2 linked regions of the Drosophila melanogaster genome follow. The protein of the gene in region 1 interacts with the protein of each later gene in a pairwise test. Each region holds a gene or a part of one and is shown in the gene's direction. Other genes may lie near its edges. The genes, in order: HipHop and cav.

What was found.
Region 2: the proteins of HipHop (region 1) and cav interact in binary tests that used the Drosophila melanogaster proteins (3 or more experiments, as listed by UniProt).

The regions. Positions count from the first base shown.
Region 1 is NT_037436.4:18,819,213-18,823,001, forward strand, and holds HipHop (HP1-HOAP-interacting protein), read left to right. Parts: upstream 1-1,958; 5' UTR 1,959-2,094; coding exon 2,095-2,760; 3' UTR 2,761-3,141; downstream 3,142-3,789. Other genes in the region: Cat (catalase), read left to right, coding at 3,574-3,630. UniProt on the Drosophila melanogaster protein: Part of the HipHop-HOAP complex that recruits the MTV complex to form the terminin telomere-capping complex, which binds to chromosome ends in a sequence-independent manner and prevents telomere fusion.
Region 2 is NT_033777.3:24,219,675-24,224,208, forward strand, and holds cav (caravaggio), read left to right. Parts: upstream 1-1,856; 5' UTR 1,857-2,067; coding exon of another isoform or gene 2,068-2,079; 5' UTR 2,080-2,233; coding exon 2,234-2,251; exon of another isoform or gene 2,252-2,291; intron 2,292-2,567; exon of another isoform or gene 2,568-2,668; coding exon 2,669-2,800; intron 2,801-2,861; coding exon 2,862-3,749; 3' UTR 3,750-3,854; downstream 3,855-4,534. Other genes in the region: twin, read right to left, coding at 1-101, 291-477, 541-669, 858-889, 1,154-1,173; Spps (Sp1-like factor for pairing sensitive-silencing), read right to left, coding at 4,075-4,534. UniProt on the Drosophila melanogaster protein: Part of the HipHop-HOAP complex that recruits the MTV complex to form the terminin telomere-capping complex, which binds to chromosome ends in a sequence-independent manner and prevents telomere fusion.

The DNA.
Region 1 (3,789 bases):
ATATTAACGCTTTTGTTCGATACTTATGCCCACACTTTAATTAAAGCACGCACTTTTTTATAGAAAATCATCGAAATATTCAGCTTTGCTTCACTTACCTTGAGATTTTGTCCAAATATCTCGTTTCTTTGTTTGGCCTCTTTGTTGTGGTCCTAAGTACCGTTTACTGTTATATATTTATTGTAAACTGGCTGTGGTTGTTGTAATTCCTTGCAGCATTGCTTTTCACTTTACTTCACTAATGCACACACACACCACACACTCTCATATATGCAGAGATAGAAATGGGGAGACCATACACGAACGAAATTTCTCGTGCAGCAACTTTTTCTCTCTTTGCTTTCTTTCTTCTGCTTTATCTTTTTTTATTTTGTGTAAACCAGTATTTTGTGCCTTCTTTCACTTGTATGCTTTACGATGTTGTTGTTGTTGTCGTTGTTGTTTTATTCAAGAAATTGTTGAATAACGGTTTCTGTTAGCCGCTATGCTTTCGTGTTTGTTGTTGTTGTTGTCTTGAATTTCACTTTGCTTTCGCGTTTCACGCATTGCTGCTGCTTCTTCTTCTACGTCGCCGTCGTGTTGCTCCTTTTCGTATTTTACATTTTTTTTAGCCGTGGGAAACCTGTCCAGCAGCCTTAAAGCCGCTGTTTTTGTTGCTTTTCGTTTTTTGGCTAAACATTTTCATTGCTAAAAGAGCACTTGGGACTTTTATTTTCATAATTCATTTATCGCGCTGTAGTTGTGCGTATATTTATAAAGATAAAAGCAAGCAAACAGCGCAGCAAAATTCCAAATAAATAAAATTATTGTTGCTCAACGTTCATTGCCACACACACTCACACACGGCCAGACACTCACCAACACCAGCAGACAACGAGTCAGACACACACACATGCATACACTTTTTTTGGGGCAGCGTTTTTTGTTGTTTCAAGGCAACTTTATTTCTTGACTCTTTTTTTTGTATTTTCCTCCCCCGCAGGGAAACAAAGAAAATTTCACTTGTCTCGCACACTCACACCACGAAGCGCGCACACAGACACGGTGCCTTTCCCAAAGGAAATATTATTTAAAACATTTATTGACACAATTACAAGGTTTTTGCTTCTTTCGCTCGACGTTGTTATTGTTGTTGCTGTGGTTGTTGCCGCTTGCTTGCTTTTTTCTTGCTGTTGTTGTTGGCCTACTTTGTGTGTTGTTGCTGTATTTTTTCTCTCCTCTTTTTTTTGTTGCTCCAACTTCTCTCCTTTGCTTTGCTTGAAAAAATTTCACACGCGCCGTTTCTTTTTTTGTCTCTTCTCTTTACGTAAATTAGATTGCCATTTGAAGTTATCTTTCGAGGGATTGCACTTGGTATTAAGCTATATTATACATATACGTGTTGCACTACATTATATTTATAAAAATTATGTGTATTCGTTTGAAATTTTAATTGTGTTTTTATAAAAAGAAAATCAGACGAGACGAACGTATGAACAATGAATGACAAAAAATAACCTGGGTTTAATGGGCTAACATTTCGCGTCCAACAGCACGCTGAGTGCTGTTCGGCGAGCAGCTGATTTTGCAGTTTTCGGTATTTTCAGTATTAGTTGGTATAATTACAGTTTGATTTGAATGTGGTTTTAGGGTTTTAAAAAATGTGTTTTTAAACTCATTTTAATTGATACAACCAACAGAAGAAATACAGTCAATTTTCAAACTAACTGATATAACATAAGTATTTCATGAACATCGAACACGCCAATAATTAGATTATTGTCAATTTTAAACGAATAGTTTCTTCATATTAATTACTTAACTGGCATTACAATAAGCCACATTTAAATTGTGAGAAACTGTGACCATGTCAGTATGTTTTTAGATTTTATAACATTTAAAAAAATTGAATTTGTTTATTAGTTAAATGCATTTTATTTTACGCCTAATTTTGGTATATTTCAGCAATCCATATGTGGTCACACTATATGTTTCCAAAGTGGCGGGACAATTGGCTTCATGTTTCGTTTTGTTGCGTTTGGAAGTTAAAATGCCAGTGTAAGCATTGTTTTGTAAGCCCGAGTTGTGGAGAACTAGGTGCATGATCTATTCCAGATGGCCTCCATTGACGAGGGCTCGCGCGTTGAGCGGAGATTCTGCGCAGTCGGCAACCACACGCTGCGGAAGCCGTATCGCCAACTGAACAACAAATATTTGGTGCGCTTCGCCTGTTTGCTGAACAGCGAAATTCGGGCGGGCAACCTCATCTGCTGCAAGTGCTACACGGACCTGGTGCGACTCTACCGGAAGAAGAACGACAATGCCAAACGGCACAAGATGGCCAGGGAGACTGCCGCGAGCATTACGGACGTCAGCGGCAGTCAGTCATCGTCGCACCAAAGTGCGCCCTCTTTGCATGTCTCTGGCCAAAGTTCCGAATTCGGTGCCTCATACAGTGAGGGGGGCATTGTGACTCCCGATGAAGAGCTGTGCTCCCACAGAAGCTTAAGTCAAGATTCAGACAATGTGCCCACTACCAGCGCTGCAGCGATCCAAAAACGCCAGCTTGCGAGGGCAAACCTAATGGTGAAACCATCGCAGAGGCTGAGCTTGGCCCAGACTACTCCGGATTGCGACGACTACGACCCCAACTCGAATCTCAGTTTGAACGCCGTGAATGGCACGCGACTGCCGCACATTCAGCCGATTCCAAAGAGGCGCCCGACCGTCCTGGACAAGCAGTCCATGGATATTTACTTGATGGGAACCACAGGTGGTTAGGTGATTTTTTTAAGTTGTGACTAGAGAACAAGATACATATGCTAGTTGATGCTAGTTTCTAAGTTTCATTTAATTAGATATTTTTGTACGCTAAAATAAAGAAAGACAGAGATGTTAGCTTGGCAGGAGCCACAGAAAGATAGCCGCCATTTGGAGATTTCCTTGAAGTTTATAATTTTAACATGTTTAATGATATTTACATATATTATATGAATGAAGTACATTTATTTTAAAGGCACCACTGGAAGAGGTTCACAACTTAAGAAAAAAAGAGGCCATAGATATTTATTTGGCAGGAGCACCAATAGATAGCCGACTTAGTTTATAACTTAATGATGCCGACATTTTCATGAAATTAAAAAAATAAATAACTTAACAAACAGTTTAAATTTATTCACCTTTCTGGGCAGCAAATGGAGCGAAGGTACTATAAATTATCAATAATAAATCTTAATGGTGTTGGGACACGTTTTTAAATGGACAGTGCAAAAAAAAAACTTTGAAAATGAATTTCATACTATTTAAATACAAATATGAATAATAATGGATATTATGTAATATTTAAGCGATATATTTCCAACTATAATCGAAATATCGATATCTTCGGCCCACTCGACAACCCTGAGCAACAACAAGTACGTGGTGCTGGGCTATAAAAACAAATGGAACTGCGCTGCAGTTGCTTTAGTTGACAGAATTCTCGACGCAGTCACAGCAAAAAACCGAAGGCGGCTAGAAATCAACAACTTTCCAGTTCGAGTGTTTCTAAATTCTGGTTATCCCGTTGAGCAAATATCCTAAATTTTAAGCAAAATGGCTGGACGCGATGCGGCTTCCAATCAGTTGATTGACTACAAAAACTCCCAAACGGTGAGTGTGTTGGTGTGCGAGCGCGAGAGAGCGCAACTGCATGTGTGTGCGTGTGTGTGCCGGCAGGAAAATAAGAAAACAAGAAAGGCAAAAAAGACAAAAAGAGAAGGGAGAAGCATTGTACGAAATGAAATAAACAAAAAACAAGACAATTTCAGT
Region 2 (4,534 bases), on another chromosome or scaffold:
TTTGCAGCGGATTGCCCATGAGGCCGAGTATGACGAGGTGGAACAGCTTGCCGATCTCGTAAGGCAGTACGCGCAGAAAGTTGTTGTTCAGCAACAGCTCCCTAAAAGGAGGCAAGACAATGGAGTGGCTTAGTGAAAAGCATGGATCAGTGATCAATAGGGTCTGCGCCCAGACAGCGATTTCACAATAGATCAACTGCTAAGGGTGCAATAGAGTATGAGACATAATAATAGGACTAAAATACGATTTAACAACGTAAATCATGTCCTATGCCAACCCACAAACTCACCGCAACTGGATGAGCTCGCCGAGCTCTGCGGGAAGACTTCTTAGCTTATTGCTGGACAGGTCCAAAGTTCGGAGGCTGGTCAGCATGCCAACGTCTGCGGGCAATCGCAGCAGCTGGTTGTCGTTCAGGTAGAGGGCGGTTAGATGCTCAAATTCCCACAGCGACGGGCTGATATTGCGGACGCAGCCTGTAAACAGATGTATGGTAGAATTAATATGATATTTTTCGGGATTAAGTGTGTGATACCCACCAGTAATCTCTAGGCCACTCCAGTTCGTCTTCTTGCCCGCAGCTATGTCCTCCTGCGACAGAAAGATCTGCTGCCGCCGATTGGCGCTGTCGTATTTGTCTTTGTTACGAGACATTTTATAATGATTGCCTGTTCGGTATATATAGAAGAGAGTTATATTAATATATGTATAAGGTAAGAGATAACAAGTTAAAATCTGGAATTGTTTCAAGGAAGTTAGGGCTCATGTTAGGAGACAAAACCTCGCTTAGCAACAAAAATGAATGCTTTGAGTTTTAGCTTAAATGTATCTAGGAGTATTGGAATCAAATCATAACCTTTCATAATAACCGCCTGATGATAAGCGTCTCTGCAAAATATTAATAAAGTGGTTTCCATTATTATTTTGTATTAGTAAACAAAGGTGGGTCTGAGGTCCGGGTTTGGTTTACATATACAGCTAAGGTAAAACTAATAGCAGTTCTTAAACATTATTAATTAAAATTTAAGTACAAGGTAAAAGGTCGATATGGAAAATACCGCCAAACTCAATAGTTGGAGGATTTTAGGAAAAATCTTTATATTTTATTAATAAATAGCATTGGATATGTATTTTGGAACGTTGTCTATGCACCTTTTTTTAAAGATACACATATTAGGCTTTAAAGAACTGCTATTGGCTTTCGCACAGCTGCGGATGGTAAATTGTAAATCATAAATAAATGCAAACGAAAATGATTTTGGTAAGCGCGCGCAAAGTGCAAGCACCAACACACACGCACACACACGGACGCGTAGCACACACAGAAACACTATACAGTTAGAAAGAAGAATGGCGTGGGCGGGCAAAACAAGAAGAAGAAGGAAAGCCGTATGTCGCATATTGAAAATCGTGGGTATCAGGAACCTGTGTAGGATTACCTGGCTCAGTTCACTATTCCTAGGAAGTCACCTCAATCGGAAATTCTGGCTCAAATTTACTCGCCGTCTCTCCTCGTTTCGCGCGCTCTTTTCGCTCTCCGCCTGCACTTACTCGAGGATTTTGAAAGAAAAAGGAAGCCGCAGCTGGGGATTCAGCAATATTCGATATTCACTGTGAAATTTAACCGACTTCTACCGTTTTTGGTGCCTTTATTTGGGTCCTATATTTGTTATTTTATTATTTTGCTGCTTTTCGTTCGTGTTTGTCGGAACAGAAGCGACGATTCTGCTAATCAACCTATTCGTTTTGGATCGCTCTTTCTTCTGCTGGGCCTCTGCTTTTCATTTATTTATCACGCGACTCGCTTTCATCGTCGGTTCTTGTTTTTGTATACATGGTGAGCAGTCGGAGTTGCCACTCGGTTTTATCAGCGGACGGTATCACGGCAAGATTTGTCCAAAATGCGTGCTTATTCGTCCAACTGAAGTCCGGCCTAGTGTTCTGATAAAGTGTGAGACAACGTTTGTTTGTAAAAAGAACTACTCAAATGGGATTTCAGTCAAAACAAAACAAGAGCACATCACACACAAGACGCACACATACACACAAGACGCACACGCACACAGATGGTCAAAGAGGTGCAGGGCTGAAAATAAAAACACGTAGATATTTCGTACTGTTTGCTTTACTAGCCACTTTTTTCGGTCAATGCTTTTTGCTGAGGACTCGGCTTTCGACGCGATATATTTTATGTAGTTTAGATCTCTGGATGGACGATTTATTTGTGAATTTATGCTGCTGCTACTATGTGTAAACTTTCGTTCTTCGCTTTCCTTCGTTTTCCATTTCTCTTTTGTGCGCTGGTTTGGCGTACGCGGAAATGCCCACTTGCTGTTAATCGGCTATCGGAAAGAATTTGCAAGCAGGGGCTCCAACTAGCGTATTGAGAAAGTAGCTATATTTTGTATGACAGTTAAGACCCCTGTTTTTTGAATTGATATTTTTTATAGGATTGAAATCAGGAGCTTTGAATTATTAATTTGTAAAATAAAATGAGTTTATTTTGACAGCAAACGAAAATACTTAGCTAGAATCGAGCTAAACCATTAAAATCTGTAAATACTGACTAATCGATAACCTTACAGAGTTTCGATAGATCCATTAGCCGCGAATGCCCTTAAAAAGTTGTAATTTATTTAATTTAATGTTGCGTGTTTTTAAAAAAAGGTTAATATGTCGGGGACGCAAATGTCTGCCTTCCTGAGAAAGTATCTAGCCGACGAGGACAAAAAAATTCGTGCGCAATTCAAAGAAAGCGATCCTAACAACAAATTGATTCTATGGATGCACGAAAAAACGGTAAGACGCATTTCATTTTGTAAATTGAAATTGTATATTGTATAGTATCCTGTATTTGAAGAGAATAACCGAGGAGGACTTGGCACGCCCATACACCGAGGACGAGGTAAAGGAGCTTTGTCTACGCACCAAAGTGAAGGTTGATATGACCGCTTGGAATTGTCTGTGGGAAGCCAAAAAGAGGTTTGAAGCAAAAGGACGTTTTGTGAACAAGTCTGAGAGATTCATCAACCGAATGTATATGAAAGCGGTGCGCAGAAAGATGGTCCAACCGTATCCGGAGGAGTTTGTGGCCCAGCGAAGAGAAATAGTTGCAGCCGAGACTAAGAAGCAGAACATCAGCCGATTGGATAGATGGCAAAAGAAAAAGAGTCAAAACCTATCAGCACCAGAATCCTCTCCAGACGCTCATGCATCTTCTAATGACGCGGTGCAGAGCCACGAGGACCAAGCAAACACAAATCTTAGTTCACTGTCTCAAATGAACTTTCAAGTGGAAGCGATGGCTCCGCCAGGCGTGTCGTCATCTGATCTTAGCGGCATCGGAGACGATGAGGACGAACAGCAGCAGTCAGGATTTCAGGATGAGAACATCAACCGTCCAGAGACAGAGATTAATGAGAATTCGGTGAGATGTGATCCAATTAATTTAGGAAGGATGCGGACTGGATGTATAAATTCGCAAGCAAATAACAGTTTCCGGAATACGGAGTCTGATCCGGACTACTATATGTTTGGCACCCAATTGAGCACATTAGTACGACCCACGTCGACTCAAGAGCCTGACGATCAGGTAAACTGTCCAGAGACAGAGATGAATGAGAGCTGGGTAAGGTGTGATCAAATTAATTCGGAAAGCTTGTCGATTGGACCGTCAATTGATTCGGAAGGAACTATCACTTTTCAAAATACAGAATCTGAGCCGATCGACGTCACCTCAATAGCCTGATGTCCATATATTAAACTATATAAAGTTCTTCATTTATTGGTGTTAATTAATTAAAAACATGTAATCCCTAAAAATGTTATAAAATGTATAATAAAAATCTTAATTAAAATACGATGGTCGATTAAGCTATGTACACTAATCTAGGATGATCCGCAACCGGAGCTGTACAAGAAGGGTAAACATTTAAAATGCTCGCTTTTACATAATTACGCTATGTACAATTTATATATTGCTAAACCATGGTCCCATGGGGCGCGGCAGGGGGCGGTGGGTGCTACGGGAAGTGGTCAAACAAGAACTGTTCCATGAACAGCGACTCCGAATGCTAGTTGGACGAATTGTCGCCAGGCTCACTGACCGCAATTGTCATCTTCACTTCATCGCCACTGTCTAGTTCTGGATCCTCGTCATCCTCCTCATCCTCGCAATCATCCATATCGTCCTCGTCGAGCTCCTCGTCTTCGTCGTCCTCTTCGGTCAATTCATCATCCTCCTCGTCGTCCTCATCATCGCCGAAACTATCACCCCCGCCGCTGGCCTCCACAGTCGGCAGCTGAACGATCGTGGCCCCGCCCGGCGTCACAGTTGAGCCTGCAACCGTGGCCGCCACACTGGAGGCTCCACTGCCCGCCGCCGCTGAACCGCCGCCCGGAATCTCAATCGTCACAATGCCGTTCACCGTGCTAATGCTTTTCGGTGCATTGCCACCCTTGGTCTCCTGCTTGATGCTCAGCTCAATTAGCTCCACGCCAGAGCGGCTCTTAAAGTGCGTCTTGATGTGCTTC